5 linked regions of the Mus musculus genome follow. The protein of the gene in region 1 purifies or fractionates together with the protein of each later gene. This does not show direct contact. Links are inferred from orthologs where the notes say so. Each region holds a gene or a part of one and is shown in the gene's direction. Other genes may lie near its edges. The genes, in order: Polr3d, Polr3gl, Polr3h, Polr3b and Polr2f.

The links.
Region 2: the proteins of Polr3d (region 1) and Polr3gl purify together in Homo sapiens (co-immunoprecipitation; 4 studies listed by BioGRID and IntAct, counting the BioPlex papers as one, with this or other methods). This does not show direct contact. The link is inferred for Mus musculus from reciprocal best matches to the Homo sapiens genes POLR3D and POLR3GL.
Region 3: the proteins of Polr3d (region 1) and Polr3h purify together in Homo sapiens (affinity purification with mass spectrometry; 6 studies listed by BioGRID and IntAct, counting the BioPlex papers as one, with this or other methods). This does not show direct contact. The link is inferred for Mus musculus from reciprocal best matches to the Homo sapiens genes POLR3D and POLR3H.
Region 4: the proteins of Polr3d (region 1) and Polr3b purify together in Homo sapiens (affinity purification with mass spectrometry; 8 studies listed by BioGRID and IntAct, counting the BioPlex papers as one, with this or other methods). This does not show direct contact. The link is inferred for Mus musculus from reciprocal best matches to the Homo sapiens genes POLR3D and POLR3B.
Region 5: the proteins of Polr3d (region 1) and Polr2f purify together in Homo sapiens (affinity purification with mass spectrometry; 5 studies listed by BioGRID and IntAct, with this or other methods). This does not show direct contact. The link is inferred for Mus musculus from reciprocal best matches to the Homo sapiens genes POLR3D and POLR2F.

The regions. Positions count from the first base shown.
Region 1 is NC_000080.6:70,440,590-70,444,984, reverse strand, and holds the start of Polr3d (DNA-directed RNA polymerase III subunit RPC4), read left to right. Parts: upstream 1-1,513; 5' UTR 1,514-1,652; intron 1,653-1,757; exon of another isoform or gene 1,758-1,864; 5' UTR 1,865-1,869; coding exon 1,870-2,034; intron 2,035-2,589; coding exon 2,590-2,633; intron 2,634-3,529; coding exon 3,530-3,681; intron 3,682-3,821; exon of another isoform or gene 3,822-3,823; coding exon 3,824-3,948; intron 3,949-4,217; coding exon 4,218-4,386; intron 4,387-4,395. UniProt on the Homo sapiens protein: DNA-dependent RNA polymerase catalyzes the transcription of DNA into RNA using the four ribonucleoside triphosphates as substrates.
Region 2 is NC_000069.6:96,580,717-96,584,455, reverse strand, and holds part of Polr3gl (DNA-directed RNA polymerase III subunit RPC7-like), read left to right. Parts: intron 1-1,885; exon of another isoform or gene 1,886-2,200; 5' UTR 2,201-2,242; coding exon 2,243-2,368; intron 2,369-2,682; coding exon 2,683-2,812; intron 2,813-3,552; coding exon 3,553-3,621; intron 3,622-3,739. UniProt on the Homo sapiens protein: DNA-dependent RNA polymerase catalyzes the transcription of DNA into RNA using the four ribonucleoside triphosphates as substrates. Specific peripheric component of RNA polymerase III which synthesizes small RNAs, such as 5S rRNA and tRNAs.
Region 3 is NC_000081.6:81,923,383-81,927,787, reverse strand, and holds the start of Polr3h (DNA-directed RNA polymerase III subunit RPC8), read left to right. Parts: upstream 1-1,574; 5' UTR 1,575-1,891; coding exon 1,892-2,002; intron 2,003-4,405.
Region 4 is NC_000076.6:84,625,031-84,628,864, forward strand, and holds part of Polr3b (DNA-directed RNA polymerase III subunit RPC2), read left to right. Parts: intron 1-3,219; coding exon 3,220-3,252; intron 3,253-3,452; coding exon 3,453-3,509; intron 3,510-3,596; coding exon 3,597-3,661; intron 3,662-3,834. UniProt on the Homo sapiens protein: Catalytic core component of RNA polymerase III (Pol III), a DNA-dependent RNA polymerase which synthesizes small non-coding RNAs using the four ribonucleoside triphosphates as substrates.
Region 5 is NC_000081.6:79,140,015-79,144,453, forward strand, and holds the start of Polr2f (DNA-directed RNA polymerases I, II, and III subunit RPABC2), read left to right. Parts: upstream 1-1,310; 5' UTR 1,311-1,400; coding exon 1,401-1,420; intron 1,421-4,439. Other genes in the region: 1700088E04Rik (UPF0193 protein EVG1 homolog), read right to left, coding at 867-969. UniProt on the Homo sapiens protein: DNA-dependent RNA polymerase catalyzes the transcription of DNA into RNA using the four ribonucleoside triphosphates as substrates.

The DNA.
Region 1 (4,395 bases):
CACCATCAGTGTCTCACTTTGTAGTCCAAGCTGGTGTAAACTCAGAGACCTGCCTGCTTTTTCCTCCCAAGTACTGGGTTTACAGGCATGCACCAACATGCCTGGCTTGTCACATAATTTCCCCCCCCCCCTTTTTTTTTTTTAAATAACTGCATATGTATGACATCAAAATGAAGTTTACTTATTTACTATTTTCATTTTATTTATTTATTTTGGTTTTTCGAGACAGGGTTTCTCTGTGTAGCCCTGGCTGTCCTGGAACTCATTCTGTAGACCAGGCTGGCCTCAAACTCAGAAATCCACCTGCCTCTGCCTCCCAAGTGCTGGGATTAAAGGCGTGTGCCACCACTGCCCAGCAAAGTATACTTTTAATATGTACATTTTCTGAAACTCTTTCCTAGGGATATAATCTACAAGAAAGCAAAAAAGTTGGATGTATCAAATGTACACTAGCTATTTCTAACAACATACCTATTTAAAGTAAGTGCCCCATTAAGGAAACAAGTTACGATATATACATATAAATATGCACATATATATCCTCCCATTGGTCATTTGTCTCCGACAAAGAATACACTATTGTGTGGCACAATATTACAGTACATCAAAAATATTTTAATGCTAGCAGCCTATGGAATTCCAGCAGAAATAGGTTCCTTCCCTAGAATTACATAACCTTTTTATTTGTATTGGGGTCGCTGTAGTGTAACATTAAATGACTCCCCCCCCCCCAGATTAGATTGCAACCACACATTACAATAAAAAAATTTTTCAGCTGGGATTGGTGGTGTACATCTGTAATCCCTACAACTGAGGGATGAGTGAAGAGACTGGACTGCTGCAAATTCGAGGCCAGCCTGGTCTACTTAAGTTCCAGACTAGATAGGGTTACAGAGCAGGGTTGTCTTAAAAATACCCACACCTCCCAACCAAAAATCAAAAAACAAAAACCCTTCCAGTTGAAGAGCAAACTTCAGTTCCAAAGGCTTCCCAGATTTGACTAAGCAGTCATGGGCCCAGGTAGATGAGAAGAGCTATTGGCTGCTCTGTCCAAACTGCGTTAAGGGTGACACCCCAAGACCCCAGGGACCGGCAAGGGAAGGCGCACGCGAGCAAAGGGTCGAGCCCGAAGGTGCAATGACCACGCCAAGGTCAACGCAGGGAGGCTGCAGCCAGCCACGGCCTGAGGGCTCTAAGCTCCCTATGTCCGGAGCCCCATCCCGAGCGGCGACCCCACTGCTCCCAGAGGCTGCGCAGTGTGGACTCCACATACAGCAGGTAGGCGACCTTGGAGCCCCTCCACCTCCGACCCCGAGGACCGCACCTCTACTCCCTGCCAGGGGCCGAGACACGCCCCCACGAGTCACACCCCGGCACAGCTTACAGTCCACCTCCCACATCCTTTTTCGCCCTCTCAACCCAGCTTTTCCCGACTCCGGGAAGAACCGGGAAGAGAAGGCGGAGGGCGGCGAGGCACCGTCGGATAAATACTATGGTCAGGTCACGCCCCCTTGATGTCACTTCCGCCCCAGGGTAAGATGGCAGCGCCCGGTCCTTGCCACGCAGACTTCCGCCTTGCCCGGAGACCCGCGGCCCGTGGTTGCTCTAGTCGGAGGTGAGGTTGTGATACTCGGCGCAGAGCCTCCACGCAGGTGCGTCACGAAGTCCCCAGGGAAAGGGCAGGTGACGGAGTCCAAAGCTAGGGGTGGGGCGCTCCGGGAAGCCTCGCCACGTGGGACGGGGAGGAGCTGAGCTGCAGCGAGAGCGACGCACGGGCGGGGGGCGGGAGGCCACGTGGGTGCGGTTCCGCCCAGGGTCCTCGCGTCCAGCCCTTGGAGTCACTTTGTTGCCTACTTTCTTCTAGGAACCATGTCGGAAGGAAACGCGGCGGGCGAGCCCAGCAATCCTGGAGGGCCGCGACCCCTTCTCTCTGGGGGCCGGGGGCTGATCGGCCGGCGGCCCGCACCCCCGCTTACGCCCGGTCGCCTTCCCTCCATCCGCTCCCGGGACCTCACCCTTGGCGGAGTCAAGAAGGTACCTGCGAGCGCGTTTGTATAGAAACCCACCCAGGCCGTAGGGAGGCGACTCGTGATGTTCATTCATGTGCTGCCTTGGGCCCCTGGTGGGATGTCAGCCTTTAGAGAGACCTGCAAACCTAGGTGCTGGTACAGGACACTGACAGGGTCTCCTAGGCAATTAAAAGACAGTGAATCTAGTTGATTCAAGACATCCGGAAGTGCTTATTATGTTCTGGGCTCCTTACAAAATCCCTTGAAAGCCAGACAAAATTGCTTTACTTGCAATTTCGAGTGTTCATAACTCTGTGGATGTCAGTATTGAAAACTAATAATCTAGTAAGTGATGAATCTTAGGCATGCCGGTAACTGCTCTTTGTCCCCTCCTGTTATGTGTGTAACAGTAGATGTAACTGTACCGAGTAGCTCTGAAAAGGAATAGCAAACACAGGATAAAGCATTTTAGCTTTGCCTTGGGGGCTACTGGTGATAGTCTACCTGTCTCTCTAAGCCATCCCAGGACTGTTGGTCAGTTGAGCACATCGAAAATACAGTACTGTGTTTTACTTTTCAGAAAACCTTCACCCCAAATATCATCAGTCGGAAGATCAAAGAAGAGTAAGTAATGAATGAACAGTACTCACCCCGGTTAGCTCTGAATTTGGGGACGTAATTAGGTTGTGTGGCCTAGAGATTTTAACTTACGCTATTAGCTTATTCACCAGTGGTTCTCATCCTTCAATCCTGGGTTATATAGGGGCATGTTTCTTTTTGAGACAGTGCCTCGCTACATGGCCTTGCATGTCCTGGAACTCACTTATGTAGGTTGCTGGCCTAGAACTCCCAGAGATGTGCTTGCCTCTCAGACCTGTGTCCTGAGTGCTGGGATTAAGATGTACACCTCCACGCTTAGCTCCAGGGCACTTTGCATTAGAGGGTCTTTTTGGTTTTTGTTTTGTTTTGTTTTTTTTCTGTAATAAATAGCTGAGATAATTGGCTTACAGAGAGGGACATTTTGTTTTGGAGATTTTAGTCCACGATCAATCAGGTGGTTCTTGCTTTTGGGTTCATGGTATGGCAATGAATGCAGTCGGAATACCCAAGGGAAGAAAGAAATTAAGGAGAGGAAAGGGCTGAGTTTCTATTCTCCTTTAGGAGCTGGGTAACCACCCAGTAGGCTCCATCTCTTATAGTTTCAGCTACCTTCTGTTTCTGCCGAGGTGGGGCTGAACTCTCCAACTTTGCCTTAAGGTCCTCTGCTCTCCAGCCTTTCTACTTTTAGAGGGTTAAAAAACCAACAAACAAAACAAAAGGCCCACATTTTGACAAGACGGTAAAGTAGAAGGAAATTAAAGGCCGTGCTTTATGGGAGATGTCAAAGGTATAGCGAAGGGTTGGGTGCCGATTCTCGTAGTGTACTTACTGGCTCACAAGCTCTGCTCAGCGGGCTGAAAGGGGCAAGCGAGGAGGCTCCATTTCCTGAGGCAGACCCTTTTGTCTGTCCTCATTCCCAGGCCAAAAGAAGAAGTGACTATGAAGAAGGAAAAGCGTGAACGGGACAGGGACCGCCAGCGTGAGGGTCACGGACGGGGACGTGGCCGCCCGGAAGTGATCCAGTCCCATTCTATCTTCGAGCAGGGTCCGGCAGAAATGATGAAAAAAAAAGGTACCAGGAAGGGACCTGGTCTGGGTTGCAGTTCAGACTGCCTGAGAAGGCAGAGCGTGGGAGTCTCCATTCCAAGTTGGGCTCTCCTCGCTGTGGGCAGTCTTCCTTATTGAACCCTAGTGGACAGCATGATTTCCCGCAGGGAACTGGGATAAGACCGTGGACATGTCCGACATGGGACCTTCTCATATCATCAACATCAAAAAAGAGAAGAGAGAAACAGACGAAGAGACCAAGCAGATCCTGCGCATGCTGGAGAAGGATGACGTAGGTGCCAGGAGCCTGGGGGACAGGTTCTTTTGTAGCTGCTAAAGAGGGTTTTGAGGGAGCCAGGCCAGGGACATGTTCAAGCTTTTGGTTACAGGAGCACTAAAGAGGGGCTGGGGGTGCAGCTCAGTGGAGAGCGAGCTTGCCTCTGTGTGAGACGTACACATATGCAAAGAAAAGAGAGAGACACAAGTCCCGAAACGGGCTGTGATGTAAGCACACGTGCTGACATTTCATGTGACCCCCCCCCCCCTCCAACTCTTTGGCAGTTCATCGATGACCCGGGGCTAAAGAATGACACACGGAACATGCCAGTGCAGCTGCCTCTGGCTCATTCAGGGTGGCTTTTTAAGGAGGAGAGTGAAGAGCCAGAGGCTAAGCCTTTTTCGGCTGGCCCCAAGGAAGAAGATATGGAGGTGGACGTGCCTGCCGTCAAAGGTAACGTGC
Region 2 (3,739 bases), on another chromosome or scaffold:
GCTATGATGATCACAGAGGTACAGGCATCATTTTGGATCTGGGACAGGCATGGAGGTCAGCACTTGGAAACTGAGACAGTAGAAATAAGTGTTCAAGGATAGCCTGGGCTCCATGAGACCTTGTCAAGGAAGGATGAAAGGAAGGGAGAAAGAGGGAAGGAGGCACATGCCTCTGCAGTCTCAGCACGTCCAGACCAGAGACGACAGATTAAAAGGTCACGCTCGTTGTCTGCTGCACAGTTAGTTTCAGGTCTACTGGGTTACTTGAGACCCCGAATCAACAAAACAAGAGCAGAAACAAATGTGTCAGTGCTCATTAAGAATACATATTGTCCAGAGTGAGTTCCAGGACAGCCAGGACTACAGAGAGAAAGCCTGTCTCAAAAACAAACAAACAAAGAAAACCCACTCCAATTGTCCTTGTGAGTCTCTGCTATTCATGCTGATGTTGGTCACTGGCTACACTGATGTCCCTTAGAAGGTACCCCTACACTCCAACTTGTCAAAAACACGAGGAACAAAATTCCCACTCTTATGAATCAGGAATTATGCTCCTTTGCTGTTACATGGACTGTCTACATGCTTTGTTTATGTTTTAGCTTCGGCTATCTACACGGTTTATTTAGAATTCTGCATGAGACATGTGTCTTTTCCTAGTCATTCATATTATGATGGACTCGTAGGCATTTACTTTGTACTTTGGGATTATAATCTAATATTAATTTATTTTATTTTGTTGGGAGCTGAAGTGATGGTTCTGTGACTGAGAGCACTGATTGCTCATCTAGGGGACCCAGGTTTGGTCCCAGCACCCACATACGGCTGCTAACAACCATCTGTAACTCCAGTCTCAGGAGAAACCGTGCCCTCTTCTGGTCTTCATGGGCACTGCATTCAAATGGTGTGTGTGTGTGTGTGTGTGTGTGTGTGTGTGTGTGTGTGTGTGTGTGCGCGCACTCTGCCTGCCTGTCTATCTTTTTGTCTGTCTGCCTGCAAAACACCCATACCCATAAAATAAAAATAAAGATCTCAAAAAATAAACAGATATGTCTGTTTTAATTATGGGTCTGTGTGTATCACTGTGTATACACATGAATTCAGGTGTCCATAAAGGCCAAAGGCACCGGACCCCCCTTCCTGGAGCTGGAGTTATAGTAAGCCCCCCATGTGAGTGATGGGAGTCAGAGTCGTGTCATCTGGAAGAGCAGTACCCCACCACTGAGACATCTCTCTAGCTGAATTGTTTTAGTACTTTAAAATATTATTTACTTTTACTTATTTGTATGTGTACCACTTATGTAAATGTGCATGGAGGCTGTGGCAGGCGTGGATTCTCCGGGAAGTAGAGTCACAGGCAGTGGGAACCACCTGATGTGAGCAGAGGAACCAGACCCAGGTCCTCTGCAAGAGCATGGGATACTTTTAACCACAGAGCCATCTCTCATGTTTTAAAACATATTTTAAAAGTGTGTGCATGTGAGTGCAGATGTCCATGGAGGCGAAATAAGGGTGTTAGATTCCCTGGAGCTGGGTTTACAGACGGTGTGAGACACCAGACACAAGTACTGGAACAAAACTCCATTCCTCTTCGAAAGCAATGCACATCTTAACCACTGAACAGTCTCTCCAGCTTTGTTTATCTTGAGACATGATCTTGCTATTTATCCCTCAGTGGCCTGGAACTCTATGTAGACCAGGCTAGCCTCAAACTGATAATCCTCTCGTCAAGTACAGGGCTCGGATTACAGGTTTGTGGTATCACTCCTAACTTAATGTTTTATTTATTTTTTAATTAATTAAGTAGTTATATTTTGTATTTATTTTGCTTGGTTTTTTTTTTTTTTTTTTTTTTTTTTTGAGACAGGTTTCTCTGCATAACCTTGGCTGTCCCAAAACTCATTCTGTAGACCAGGCTGGCCTCAAACTCAAAGTAATGCCTTCCTTTGCCTCTCAAGTGCTGAAACTAAAGGTGTGTCCCTCCACTGCCTGGCACATCAAATTTCTAACTGTCACAGAAAAAGGGATTGGAATGTAGCCCAAAGTAGAGTACTTGCCTAGCATGAGAAAAGCCCTGGGTTTGAACCGGGGCACAGAGGAAAACGTCACCTCCCATAGAACATCACATGATGTGCTGTGCGGCTTCTTGGCGTCATATCTCTTCTAGTACACTTCTTTATCTCTCTGTTTTTGTCTTTATTAGGTTTTTCTCACTGGATCTCTGCATATCCAGGCCCCCTCCACCATGGCCAGCCGGGGTGGGGGCCGGGGTCGTGGCCGGGGCCAGTTGACCTTCAACATGGAGGCTGTGGGCATTGGGAAGGGTGATGCTTTGCCCCCACCCACTCTCCAGCCCTCTCCACTCTTTCCTGTGAGTGTCTCCCTTCCCTTCCCAAGCCTCCCATGTGAGCCCCCACTGAGCCATATGAGCACAGAATCCTCCTGGCCCATCTCGAGCCATCTGCACCTTGATTCCGTCTATAGTCGCACCTGCCCCACGGGCGGTGTTTTCCCGGCAAGGAAGTGTTTATCTTCACTCTTCATACCGTCCACTCTCCAGCTCTCAGAATGCCCTCCTCCATCTTCTGGCCTTCCCAATCTTACTGAGAACACTGGATTTTACTTGGGGGAAAGGCCTTTTAAGGTTTTATTGCAGCGCTCCAGACTAACCACTGTACCCCTCAGCCCTTGGAGTTCCACCCAGTGCCTCTGCCGGCAGGAGAGGAGGGGGAGTATGTCCTGGCACTGAAGCAAGAGCTGCGCGGGGCCATGAGGCAGCTCCCCTACTTCATCCGGCCAGCCGTCCCCAAGAGAGGTCAGTAGAAAGCTAGCATAAGGATTCGGGCCTCCTTCTGTGGGCAGTGCCCATGCTAGCACGCTCAGGGCCAGAGAGGCTTAGAAGTTTCCTGTCTAATGGAAAGAGCATTAAATGTCCCTCTGTGTCTGAAATGTATCACCTTACTCGAGATTTTAATTGAACCTCAATCTTGGGGCTGGTGGGACATTAAAGCATCAGCATCTTAGTTCAAATAGGGGGGGTACAAATGAATTTCCAATTCATTAACTGGAGAGACCTTGATGCTGGGCCTCTGAGCACCCCACCTGTGCAAAGCTTTCACCTAGCGAGAGCAGGAGACTGGAGACGGCGGGCGGGGCTGCTGGCAGGCTTGGGAGAATGGTTACTTGCCCTCGGTGAGAAGTATTGACAGTTGATGCTTTTCTACTGAGCCCCTGGGAGCTGAGGGCTCAACACTGGAAGAAGACTTACCAAGCTAACCAGTTAGTGAGAGGGAGACAGAAGACTGAACCCTGGTTTTTATCCCAGGGTGTCCTGTCCAGTGAAGCTCACTGCTTCTCAGAAGAGGATTCTGGGCAAAGATAAGAATAGCAACAAGGCAGGCTGAAGGAGAGGCAAGGCTGACCCCAACTGACAGCTCTGGGCTCTGGGCTTAGAGTAAGGAGATTGATAGATAAGAGGGGCAGACCCTTAGGACAGATGTTCTAAGGTTAAAACTCTAACTCACGGGCTCTACCCCCCCCCCACCCGCCCCCCAGATGTGGAACGTTACTCAGACAAGTATCAGATGTCTGGGCCTATTGACAACGCCATCGATTGGAACCCTGGTAAGTGACTGGCCCCTCCTCTCCGAATGCCCTCCTTTCAGATTCTTTAGGTACCTCAAACTGTCACCTTCCTTTCCTGTACATCTAAATCTAGAGTCTTAGATGTGCTCTGCAACAC
Region 3 (4,405 bases), on another chromosome or scaffold:
CAGGATTCCATTCCCAACACCCACATGGTGGCTCACAATTCAATGGTCCTGGGGATCAGAGGTTCTCTTCTGATTCTCTCTCTCTCTCTCTCTCTCTCTCTCTCTCTCTCTCTCACACACACACACACACACACACACACACAGATGCAGGCAAAACACTTCATATACATAGAAATGTAAAACAAGTTACTTACTGATATTATGAAGATCATTGCTAATCAATTCTTACCTCTCCTGTCAATTCCCTGAAATACTTTGTTTCTAGAAAGGCACACTGTTGTCTTACATGTGTTATGAGACTGGGTTTCTCTGTGTAGCCCTGTCTGTCCTGCAGCTTGCTTTGTAGACCAGGCTGGCCTCAAATTCGAATTCAGAGAGATCCTCCTGCCTCTGCATTCTAATTGTTTGGATGAAAGGTGTGTGCCATCAACGCCCAGCCCAAAATGCCTTATTTTTTTTCTCCTCATTTTTTTTTTGGGTGGGGGAGGGAGTGTGTTCTGTATAGCCTTGACTATCTTGTACTCTCTTGGTAGACCAGGTTTGTCTTAACTCTCAGAAATTTGACAGTCTCTGCCCCTCCCAACTGCTGGGATTAAAAGTGTGCAGCAAGAAAATTTTTCTATTTTGTTTTTTTGAGACAGGATTATTCTGTTCAGTCCTGGTTGTCCAGAAACTTGCTCTGTAGACTGGGCTGGCCTCAAACTCTGAGATCCGTTTGCCTCTGCCTCCCAAGTGCTAGGATTAAAGACGTGTGTCACCATCATTGTTAGGCACCCCCCTTTTTCTTTTTAGAAAGAGTCTCAAACAAACAAAAAGTCTTTTGTACCTCAGGCTAGACTTGAATTCACTATGTAGCTGATCTGTGTTTTTTGTTTTTTGTTTCTTTTTGGTTTTTCGAGACAGAGTTTTTCTGTGTAGCCCTGGCTGTCCTGGAACTCACTCTGTAGACCAAGCTGGCCTCGAATTCAGAAATTCGCCTGCCTCTGCCTCCCAAATGCTGGGATTAAAGGCGTGCGCCAGCACTGCCCGGCCACAGGATCTCATTTGGTAACTCAGGCTGGTCTTGAACTTGCAGTGATTGTCCAGCCTCACCCTCTCTTGCGCTGGTATTACAAGCGTGAGTCTGTTTCAGCTGTTTAAGCTTTGTGTGCTGAGCTTTGGTGAGCATATCCATCAAATGCACCACTTAAAATGACATCATCCAGGAAGGCCCGGCGACCCTTTTCTGCCCACTCTCTTGGGTACTTTGTCTGGAGTAAAGACTATTTTGAACGTGTTAAATTTGTATTTTCAAAGGGTCTATCTGGCTGTTGTGCAAAAGAAAGACAATCAGGCTTGAAGTGCAGACTTGTCGCCTAGCAACCAGACTCTCTCAGGGGCCCGGGGTTGGCTTGCTTCAGGATGGGGCCCCGCCCTTTCGGCACTCTACCCCGCCCCTCTTCTCTCACTTGCGGGAGAGTGCTGGCGGCCCCGCCCACCTTCCGGCCCCGCCCCTCACGGGAGCCTCGCGAAGCTCTGCGACCCGCAGGGGCGGGCAGATGCTTCTTATTGGTCAGTTTTCCGGAAGCTGAGTTGATTTGGTTTGGCAAGCGCAGCGTTGCTGGACGCGCGTGGCTCCCGCGCGTGGTGCGGACGGAACGAGGCCAGGGTGGCATCCGGGGACGGGGAGCCGGCGCTCCTCCAAGGCTGGCGGGAGCGGGCCTCAGTTTCCTCCGGGAGACGAGCGTAGCTTCCAGAATTGGAGCCCAGGCCCTCCCGCGCAGCTCGGCTGCAGGTTTGGCTTGTCAGAGGCTGAGAAGGGACGGAGGAGGCTCGGGTCCCCCCCACCCCATCACAGCTCGCAGGCCCCCGTGCTTGGCAGCCTCTCCGGTCTCCAGAGCCCTAGCGCAGGATGTTCGTGCTGGTGGAGATGGTGGACACCGTGCGCATACCCCCGTGGCAGTTTGAGCGGAAACTCAACGATTCCATTGCTGAGGAGCTGAACAAGAAATTGGCCAACAAGGTACTGGGCCCTCGGGCTGCCCGGCAGTGTCCCTACCGGTCCCACTGCTAGTCTGGCTATCGCCTGGTTCACCCTTGGCCTTGCACACTTAACTTCATGTCGGGGTTTTTTTCCTTCGCATCCTTATAAACCAGACTTGGGTGACAACGTGTACACAAGGGAGTAAATGGGCCGGGCGAGGTAGTGCACACCCGTAATCCGAGCTTCTTGGCTATTGAGGCTTTTTGACGATCCTGTGTTCGAGGCCAGCGTGGGCAATATAGTTAGCCCTTGACTCAGACAAATTAAAAGCACCGAAGCTGCTGGCGGTAGCGCATGCCTTTAATCCCATAACTCAGGAGGCAGAAGCAGGCGGATTTCTGTGAATTCGAGGCCAGCCTGGTCTACAGAGGGAGTGCTAGAACAGCCAAGGCTACAACGGAGAAACCCTGCCTCAAAAGAAACAAAAAGCATCAGGATGCTGAACAGTGCTTGAATTTGCTTGACATTCGCGGAGTCACTGGTTCGGTTCTCAGGATTGCCAGAAAACAAAACGGAGAGAGCGTGTGTACAAAATGGGTTTGTAAAACAGAAACTGGAATATGCCTGTTTCCTCGTTCAATTACTGTGTTGTCTTGGCCAAGTCACCCTCTCTGGGCCTCGGTTTGTGTTATCTGTGTTGCCCACAGTGTGAGAGTAGAGGTGAGAGGATAAGCGTGCGGGTCTCTAGAATTGAACTCAGCTTTCAGCTTTAGAGGGAGGCAGCTGTACCGGCTGAGCCAGCTCAGTAGCCCCTTTCTTGTATTCATTTGGTTACTGTGTTTCCCTTTCTATGACTACAGGGGCCTTCTCGGACTTTCACTCTCTCCAATGGGAGACACAGGCTCTGCCCTTGTAGCCTAGTGAGAAGAAGTTGGCTTGAGAATGTCTTGTTGTAATGAGCTGGGGTAAATGCCATGAAGGACAGGCATTCACAGAGTGGGGAACAGGGGAGTGTCACCCGGGATGAAAGAGATGGGTGACTTCTGAGGAAACAGCCATTGCTCTGAGAGCTGATGGTGGGAAGACACCAAGTAATGCCTCGGACAGGCCTTTCTGTGAACTTTTCACTTTGGGACTGTGTCCAGGCTTTTGGGCCTGTCAAGCGGGTCACTACTGGAATGGATGTAGCAAAGTAGAGAGACTCTGTTTCGATGGTTGGAGTAGGTTGGGTGTAGAGCTGTGGAGGCAGTGCATTTAGCATGTGCAAAGGTCCTGAGGCAGGAGAGGCACAGAATGCTGGTGTAGCTGGAACGGAAATGTAGACGGAAGCCAGACCACAGAGCCCTGGAGGGCCTTATAGTCCAAGCTGTTCTTTACGGGTCGGTAGGATGTGATCTTCAGAGAGCCAGAAAGAAAGAGCGAGTTTGGCTTTTACAGGAGACAGGTAGTCCCTTATAGGAGACTGAGGCCCTAGGAGAAGGTACACACACAGATCTGAGGCTTGTCACATGGAGGAGGAGAGAGCTCACTGACAATCCTTTAATTTTTTTTGAGACAATCTCACTATGTAGCCTTGGCTGGCCTGGAACTTGCTATAGTCTACGTTGCCCTTCCAATCCCAGAGAACCATCTGCCTCTGCCACCCAGGTGCTAGGATTGAAGGTGCGTGTCACACCCAGTCTTAGTTGCTGCACTAGTGCTGTGAGGAAATACCATGAGCAAGGTGACAAGAGAAAGCATTTTACTGGGGGCTTACTGTTGCGGAGGTTGTCCTTCAGCATTGTGGTGGAAGCGTGCTGGCACACGTGGTGTTGGAGTAGGATCTGAGAGCTATGTCCTCCACTGCCAAGGGAGTAACGCTCGCCTGCTGTGGGTCTGTGAAACCTTAAAGCCCACTCCCACTGACACAAGAAGGCCATACCTTCTTTCTAATCTTTCTCAAGTTGTGTCCCTCTCCGATGACTTAAGCATTCACATTTATGGGCCTGTGGAGGTCACACTTAGTCAGCCATGACATCCAGGTCTGTCTGTCTGTGTCTGTCTGTCTGTCTTGTCTTTCTTTTTTTCTTTCTTTCATTACATGGATTTATTTTGAATGTGGGTGTATATACCACAGCACACATGAATAGGCCACGGCACAGCTCATAAGGAGAAAGGGGTCCTGGGATCTACCTTGACTGCTGAACCATTTTGCCAATACCATCTCCCCACATCTCATGGGACTTGAATTCACTTTACATCCACTGTGTAACCAAAGATGGCTTTGGACTTCGGATACCCCTGCCTCCCCCTCTCAGCTGCAGGGATTACAGGCAGAGATCACCATGCCCGGGTGAGGTCAGTTCACTGGATCCTGAGAGAGAAACCTCCACAGATGACGACTGCTGGGAGCTCTGCCCCAGCTCTGAAGTGCTCTAGTCCCTGAGCAGCTCTTGTGAGGGC
Region 4 (3,834 bases), on another chromosome or scaffold:
AAACAAAAACCCAACCCAACAGAGCAAGTACACTAAGCAATGGTGGGAAAGAGGTGGGAAGTAAGCATTGGCCAGACTTGGTAAAAACAACAACAACAACAACAAAAACCATGTTGATGACTTTAGATTTTCTCCTATGTCTCAGTCAGTGTTCTGTCTGAGACACCCTGATCAAGGCAACTCTTAAAATAGAAAGCTTTTAATTAGGGCTGGCTTACAATTTCAGAGGTTAGTCCATTGTCTTTGTATCAGGAATGGTATGCATGGGGCTGAAAAAGTAGTTGAAAGCTTTGTATCCTGATCTGTATGCAGGCAGAGGGAGGGAGAGACAGAGACAGACTGGGCCTGGCATGGGCTTTTGCAACGTCAAAACCCATCCACAGTGACACATTTCCTCCAACAAGGCCACACTTCCAAACCCTTCCAATCCTTTCAGAGAGTTCTACTCCCCGGTAACTAAGCATTCAAATTCATGAGCTTCTGGGTCCACTCTTACTCAAACCAGCACACCCTAAGTGCAATGGGCAATATATTCCTAAACTTAAGCTATTTCCTGGAATGGTGATAATGTTTAGAATTCCACTACCAACTCTTAGGCTTTTTCTCTATTGCCATCCTTGCAGTCCTTCACCAACCTTGTGTCATTTGTGCATTTTCTCACCTCACGGAGACAGTGCTTTATGTAGCCCAGGCTAGATTGGAATTGCTATAGCTGAGGCTGATTCTGAAGTGATTGTGCTTCTGCCTCTTAATTGCTAGGGTTATAGGCCTGGGCCACCACAGCTGGCTAAAACGTTGAACAGTTGTGAGAACAAACCAATAGAGAAGGTTTCTGAGTACACAGCCAAGAGTTGGGGGGATTAAGCAAGGGAAGGTCTGACTTTCTACAGGAGAATAAAAAGTCTGTGTCTGTGGCCGGCAGTGAGTTCTCCACAAAGACTGTATACTCACCCCTCTTGTCTGTGAGATAAGAGGAATTTCACTGTGCACGGAGGGGAAATTTTGAAATATGGGAGCAAGAAATTGAAAAGCTAGATTAGTATGTCAGATGGCTGTAACAAAGTACTACAGCTTGATAGTGTAAGAAAACCAGATGTTTCATTCCCCACATTTCTGAAGACTGGAAATCCAAGACAAAGCTTACAGAAGAGCCTGAGAAAGATTCCAGTGCGTGCCTCCTCCCTAGAGTCTGCTGGCTTTTGACAGTCTCTGATGTATCATTGGCTTACAGAAACATCACACTGACATTTGTCTTCATCTTCACCTGACAGTGTCCCTGAATGTATCTGTCCAGATCCCCTTTTGTTATATGGGCACCAGCCATATTGAGTTAGAGCTTACCTACTGAAATCTTCTACAGTCCTTTAGGCCAGGCCACCTGGAAGCCAGTGTAGGAATTTAATTCAGCTTTTAATTTTGGTCTTCCTCCTCTTTTTCTGCTTAACATGAACATAGTATTGCACAGATACTGAGTATTGCTTGCCTTGGCTTTGATAGTTGCAGATAACCAAACAACTATTACCCAATATATGCTCTAGAACACTTCCACCACCCCAAAAAGTTCTCTTATAGCCTTTCCAGCTTCTTCCTATCCGCCCCCCCCCCCAAAACACTCTTGTTTTCTATTATCAGAGACTGGCTTGCCTGTTTTCTAGGCCTCCCCACATCCTCATTTCTAGATGTTAGAAATATTCTCTCTCTCTCTCTCTCTCTCTCTCTCTCTCTCTCTCTCTCTCTCTCTCTCTCTCAGATTTCACTATGTAACAATGGGTGTCATGGAACTCACCCTGTAGACCAGGCTGGCCTTGAACTCCCAAGTGCTGGGGATTAAAGGTGTGTGCCATTACGTTCAGCTTTTCTCATTTTGTGCAACTCATTTTCCCTTGCTCCTGGGCCATCTCCCTGTCCCTTAGCTTTCATAACTTCTCCATAATTTATACCCCAGGCCACTGTGTTTCTAAGTTCTAGACATCTACTGCCCATCAGACATTTCTACCTGAATGTCTAATTAGTATCTCAGACTAAACATGCACCAACCAAATTCCTAACACCTCAACCCCTGAAAGCCTGCTGCTCCTACATGGCCCCATCCTCTCATTTCTGTCAGTGTTGGCTCTGTGCCTCTGCCGTCTTAGACCAGACACTCTGATGTCAATTTTAACTTCACTTTTCTCTAGGGAACCATCCAGTCTGTTGTCATTTTACAAGCTTTGCTCCAGCTTGTGTCTGCTAGCTACACAACTTCTCACTTCCTACCTGTACTGTTACTAGTGTGGGCTACTTCGATTGACTAAGTGATTGTCCTGTTTCCAGCCTTGCCCATTTCCACCCAGCATCCAGAGCGATCCAGTTAATAGGCATGGAGCTATTATGCCATCCTCCACTCAGAGCTTCCCAGTGCCACTCAGGTCTCTTAAGTTAAAGCCAGTTTTTGTTTTGTTTTGTTTTGTTTAGCTTATTTATTTTATGTATGAGTACTCTGTCTGCATATACACCTGCATGCCAGAAGAAGACATCAGAAGTTGGTTGTGAGCCACCATGTGATCGTTGGGAATTGAACTCAGGTCCTCTGGAAGAACATCTTAACCCCTCCTAGCCACTGTGCCATCTTTCTAGTCCCTAAAGCCATTTTTTAAATGTTTGCCACAAAGCCGTGAGTTGTCCATAGATCTTTCCTTAGGAACTGAGTATTCTGACTTTACACTCCGCTGTACCCAGCTGTCAGGACTCCCTTAGCAGATGGGGTAAGTGAAAAGAGGCTGTCTCTGTATGTAGTAGTCTACAAGACACCCAAAACTCAAGAGGCATGGGAGTTAGCAGTCTATTAGTGGAGGAGCAAACACCCATGTGTGCTGACCCCCAGAAGCCTTGAGGTAGTTTGAGGCTCTGGTTTAGAAAGAGCTCTGATTGTTCCCACCAGACTCAAGACTAACTTCTCTTTTCAAATTTTGAGCCTCACTTAGGATGTGCCATAAGAATAAATTTGAAACTGGTTTGAAATCTTGTCATCCAGAAGAGGTTTTATTATATTTAGGGAAACCTGTGATATATGTGTGTCTGTGCATGTGCACCATATAAACATGGTGTTTGCAGTAGCAATTATAACATTTTCCCTGTTTGTTTTCTGCACACTGTGATAAACGTGGTACCCCACAGCAATTGTGTTTTGTGGTTACTGACAGAGGTTCTCATGGTCTTATTGTTTCCTTATCTTCACAGGAAAAATGGAGGCTGCTTCCAGCATTTTTAAAGGTAATTGTATGCTATTTAATAATAATTGGTTATTTTTCATGAGATAAGTCACTAGATTATCCTTTAAATTTTTTTCTTAACTAAGTACATCTATTAATCTTGCCCTTGCTTGTATTTGAGAAACACTAATGGTTACCTGCCCCAGAGTGACTCATGCACCCTGTTTCTTTGTTACCATCTTTTGTTTTTTCTCTGCTTAGGTTAAAGGCCTGGTGAAACAGCACATAGACTCCTTTAACTATTTCATTAATGTAGAGGTAAGCATCCAGGATTAAGGCCAGATGTAAATTGAGGGCCAAGTGGAAGCAAGAGCTCTGTTCCTAATTCTGCACTTTCTACTGCAGATAAAGAAGATAATGAAAGCCAATGAAAAGGTTACAAGTGATGCTGACCCCATGTGGTACTTAAAGTAAGAAACCAACTGCTCTTAAATAATATTCCCATTGTTTTTAAATACCGAAGTAAATGTACTTGCTGTCAAATCTCTTGTAATACCACTACTGTATCTGTCTAGTAAACTAATTGTAAAGTGCTTATATTTAACTTTTACTTGTAAATCATTTGTAAGAGTTTTAATTGAGA
Region 5 (4,439 bases), on another chromosome or scaffold:
TGACCCACCTGATATGGTTGTGGGGGATTGAACTTGGGTCCTTGAGAATAGCCAGTGCTCTTAATCTCTGAGCCATCTTTCCAGTCCTTATTTTATTTCAAGGATAGGTTCTTACTATATTATCTAGGCTAGCTTTTCTTGGGCTCAGGCAATCCTCCCATTACATATGCCTAAGACACACACACTTTTTTGGTGACTGGCTAACATGGGTGCTGGGGAATGAGCTTTCAAAGGGCAGTACATGTTCCTAACCACTGAGCCAGCTCTCCAACTGTAACACACACAGACTTTTTTGTGTATGGTGTGCTGGGGCTGAAACCCAGACTCCACATCTGCCTAGAATATACTCTGTCACTGAGCAACACCTTCAGCTCTATAATTTTCTCCTGTTCATTTTTCTTGTTACCCTCCTGTGTTATCAGTTTTCTGAGAGCAAGAGTTGTCCTTTGCAATCCTCTCAACACTCTATTCCTAGTACCTAGGACAATATCCAAATCACACATTAGGTTTTTGTCGTTGAATAATTAAGTGCATACATGCTCATTCATGTAGCAGAGGCTGGAGCTACAGTTGTGAGCAGAAACAGGCACGTTTCTTTGCCTGGTGGTGTTCACCATTTAGAAGGTGACACTAAACACCTCTAAGACTGTATAATGTCTAAGCCTGGTGAAGGGAATTGAATTTGGTACTGTGAAGGTCCCACTGCAGTGAGGAGATAGGCTTCATTGAAAGTGCATGTAAAAGATGAACTAACCATTCCAAAATTCTCCATCTCTGGTCTTTGATTCTTCCCCGAACCTTTCAGAATCCCAAGCTCTTAAGGAAAAACCGCACCGCTCGGGTCGTTGATCCCCTAATGCACTGACCTCTGAGCAGCTCACAAGTCCCCGGCGTGTAACCTGCTTGCTTACGGCAGCGGCGGAACCCGGTTCCTTTGGTCACCGAGTCCACCCTTTCCTGGGAAGCCATGGGAGGGCCCTAGGAGGGAGAGAAGCAATGACTCGCCCTAGTTACGCTTCGCAATCCGGACCTCTCATCACGAGCAACCTGGGAGTCTGAGAAGCTGGTGCCCGACCCCTCGGCTCCGGACAGCGCAGTGACCACAGTCCCTATCGTGACGGTCCGGGGAGGAGCGCTCACCTTAGGCGATGACCTGGGCGTGACAGAGCCCTCCGCACGGAGAAACTCCAAGGAGCTAGAGTGTCAGCGTCCTCACTAATCGCTCCTTGTTACCATGGTAACTAGCGACACGCCTCCACGCACGCGCATTAGCGTCTGGTCGGCCGCTGCTTCCCGGAAGTAACTGCGCCTGGGTCACGGCGCAAGCGCAAACTACGCGTGGTGCGGCGAGGGGCAAAGGCGCGCGTTCTCTGCTCTGCGCCCCGGGCGGAGAAGGCATCATGTCAGACAACGAGGACAAGTGAGCACGGGCCACGGAAGGAGGGAGGTCGTGGTGCGAGCAGGGCTCTTGGAGCACAGGCTAGCCCAGCTGCTGGGTTGGTGGGGCGAAGTCTTCAGAACTTCCTACCTCGCGGAGCAATGGGGACAGTGGTCAGAGAGTTCAGTCCGTGTGGCCCCTGTCCTCTGAGCGCTCTCTTTCTGGAAGGGAATGCCAGAGGTGTGTAGCTTGTGTAGTCGTGGAAGTAGGAAGGAAAAAGCAACCCAGAGAATGGCCTGGAAGGCTGGGAGCAGACGCGGGCTTGGGCTAGGTGTGATAGTAGCAGAGGTGGCAGAAGTGGGGATAGACTCTAGAGAGCATGAAGTTTAGTGTTGTTTGAGGCAAGGCCTCACTCTGAAACCCAGGCTGCCCGGGAATTCACTATATAGCTAAGGCTGGCTTTGAATTCGACACAGTCCTCTGCTTCAGCTTCCCAAGTGTTGATATATCTGGCATGAACCACCAGACCCAGCTGGATTATGGACATTTTTTTTTTTTTTTTCCGAGACAGGGTTTCTCTGTATAGCCCAGGCTGTCCTGGAACTCACTTTTGTAGATCAGGCTGAACTCAGGAATTCACCCACCTCTGCCTCCCCAAGTGCTGGGATTAAAGGCGTGCGCCACCACCACCCGGCTGGACATATTTTTATTTTATTTATTTGGAGACCAAATATAACCTTATATCAGGTGGTTCGAACATAGAGATTCATCTACCTCTGCTTTCCAGGTGATTTTTGTTCTTTTTTTTTTTTTTTTTTCCTGAGACAGAGTCTTTCAACATAGTCCTAGCTGTGTCTGGAAGTCACTGTGTAGATTTGGCTGTCCTCAAACTTACAGAGATCTGCCTGCTTTCACCTCCTGAGCACTGGATTACAGGCGTGCGCCACCATGCCTGGATCCTGATATATTTTAAAGATAGAACCTAAAGGATTTCTTGATACGCTGTATATGTTAATCAAGAGAGAAGATGAACTATGGTAGTCCTGATAGATCAGTCAGAATTCAGAGTCTGGGCGTGGTGGTTCACACCTGTAATCCTAGCACTTGGGAGGCTACTGCAGGGGAATTGTCCTGAACTAGATGTCAACATAGTGAGTCTCAGGCCAGCCTGAGTTACATACTGTGCAGTAAGATTGACTTCAAAACAAGCATACAAAATACAGTCAAAAATGCAATGAAAGCAGAGATGACGGCGTTGACCAGGGCAGTGATTGCCACCAGAGAAGAGATGGTGAGTGAGTGACTTGGGGGGAAGAGAACCCAGAAAAGCATCCCCTCCCCCAGAGTGGGAGGCAGGAGGGAGGAGCCAGGTATGCTGGCTGTCCAGGGGAAGGGTTCAGCATTGTAAAGATCCTTAGTGAAGCTGGGGGTGGTGCAAGCCTTTGATTCCAGCACTCAGGGCAGAGACTTGGGGGGGGGGGGGGGAATCTCTCAGTTCCAGGCCAGCCTTGTCTGCAGAGTGAGTTCCAGGCCAGCCTTGTCTGCAGAGTGAGTTCCAGGACAGCCAGGCAGCACAAAGAGACACTTTTCTTTTTTTTTTTTTTTTTTTTTTTAAAGATTTATTTATTTATTACATGTAAGTACACTGTAGCTGTCTTCAGACACACCAGAAGAGGGCGTCAGATTTCGTTACAGATGGTTGTGAGCCACCATGTGGTTGCTGGGATTTGAACTCTGGACCTTTGGAAGAACAGTCGGGTGCTCTTACCCACTGAGCCATCTCACCAGCCCCTTTTTTTTTTAAAGATTTATTTATTTACTATATGTAAGTACACTGTAGTTGTCTTCAGATACACCAGAAGAGGGCACCAGATCTCATTACGGGTGGTTGTGAGCCACCATGTGGTTGCTGGGATTTGAACTTCAGACCTTCGGAAGAGCAGTCGGGTGCCCTTACCCACTGAGCCATCTCACCAGCCCAAAGAGACACTTTTCAATGGGGAGGTTGTGGGGTGCGATGATCAGTGAGCACAGGAAGGATGGCTGTGGAGCTTGAGGGTGTGGCGAAAGCCTTACTGAGGTGAGGCTCTGACTCGGGAAGTGAAGAATTGGAGACAGCGAGTTTGGGCAGCTCCCTCAGACATTGTGCACCACGGGAGGCTGATGAGATGGAGGAGGGGCTAAAGGTGAAAGTTTTGCTGCCCGAGCCTAACAACCTAGGTTTGATCCCTAGAGCCCCTGGTAGAAGGAGAGAACAGAAAAGGGAGTCTTGGTGGTGTATGTGGGCCTGTACGCGAGCACGCATCATGTGCACGTTAGCAATAAATAAGCATGTTTTTAGAAGCCTGGTGACCTTAGGCTATGAAAATGGCAATGTCACCTTGGTCTTATGTAGTTTTGTTTGTTTGTTTGTTTGTTTGTTTTCTCCACCATAAGGGAATATGGAATTAAGCTGTAGCAGGAGGGGAAAGAATAATGGTGTGTTGTTTGTTTGTTTTTAAGAGGGGGAGGTGATGCTGGTAGTGTGCTGGTGCTGTGAGTGCCAGCGGCTTCATGCATGCTGTCTACACACCCTACTTTTGAGTTACAGCTCCAGCCCTGAAGTACACTTCACTTGTTTTTGTTCTTGAGACAAAATCTCACTATGTAGCCCAGGCTGGGCTCAAACTCCTAGTTCTCTCACTTCCCATTTCCAAATGCTAGGAGTACAGGAGTGTGCTACCACCCTGGCACGTTTATATTTCTCTCCTTATGTCCTTATGAGAGGCTGAAACTGTCTTCATGACGAGGGGGATGGCGCAGAGGTTAACCACACTTGGCTGGTTTCCCAGGGAGTAAAACCAGGCAGACAACTCCGGCTTCGGGGGCTCCCACACCCTCTTCTGGCTTCCAGGCGCACTTGTATGTGTGTACATTTACATACACAAACACACAGATAAAATAAACCTTAAACACACAGTCCCCGGACCAGAACAGTCCATGTGTACATGTAACTGGCGTGGTTCACAGAGAAGGAAACCACAGTGAAGGTGTCCTAGCAAACTGTGGGGACACATGGCAC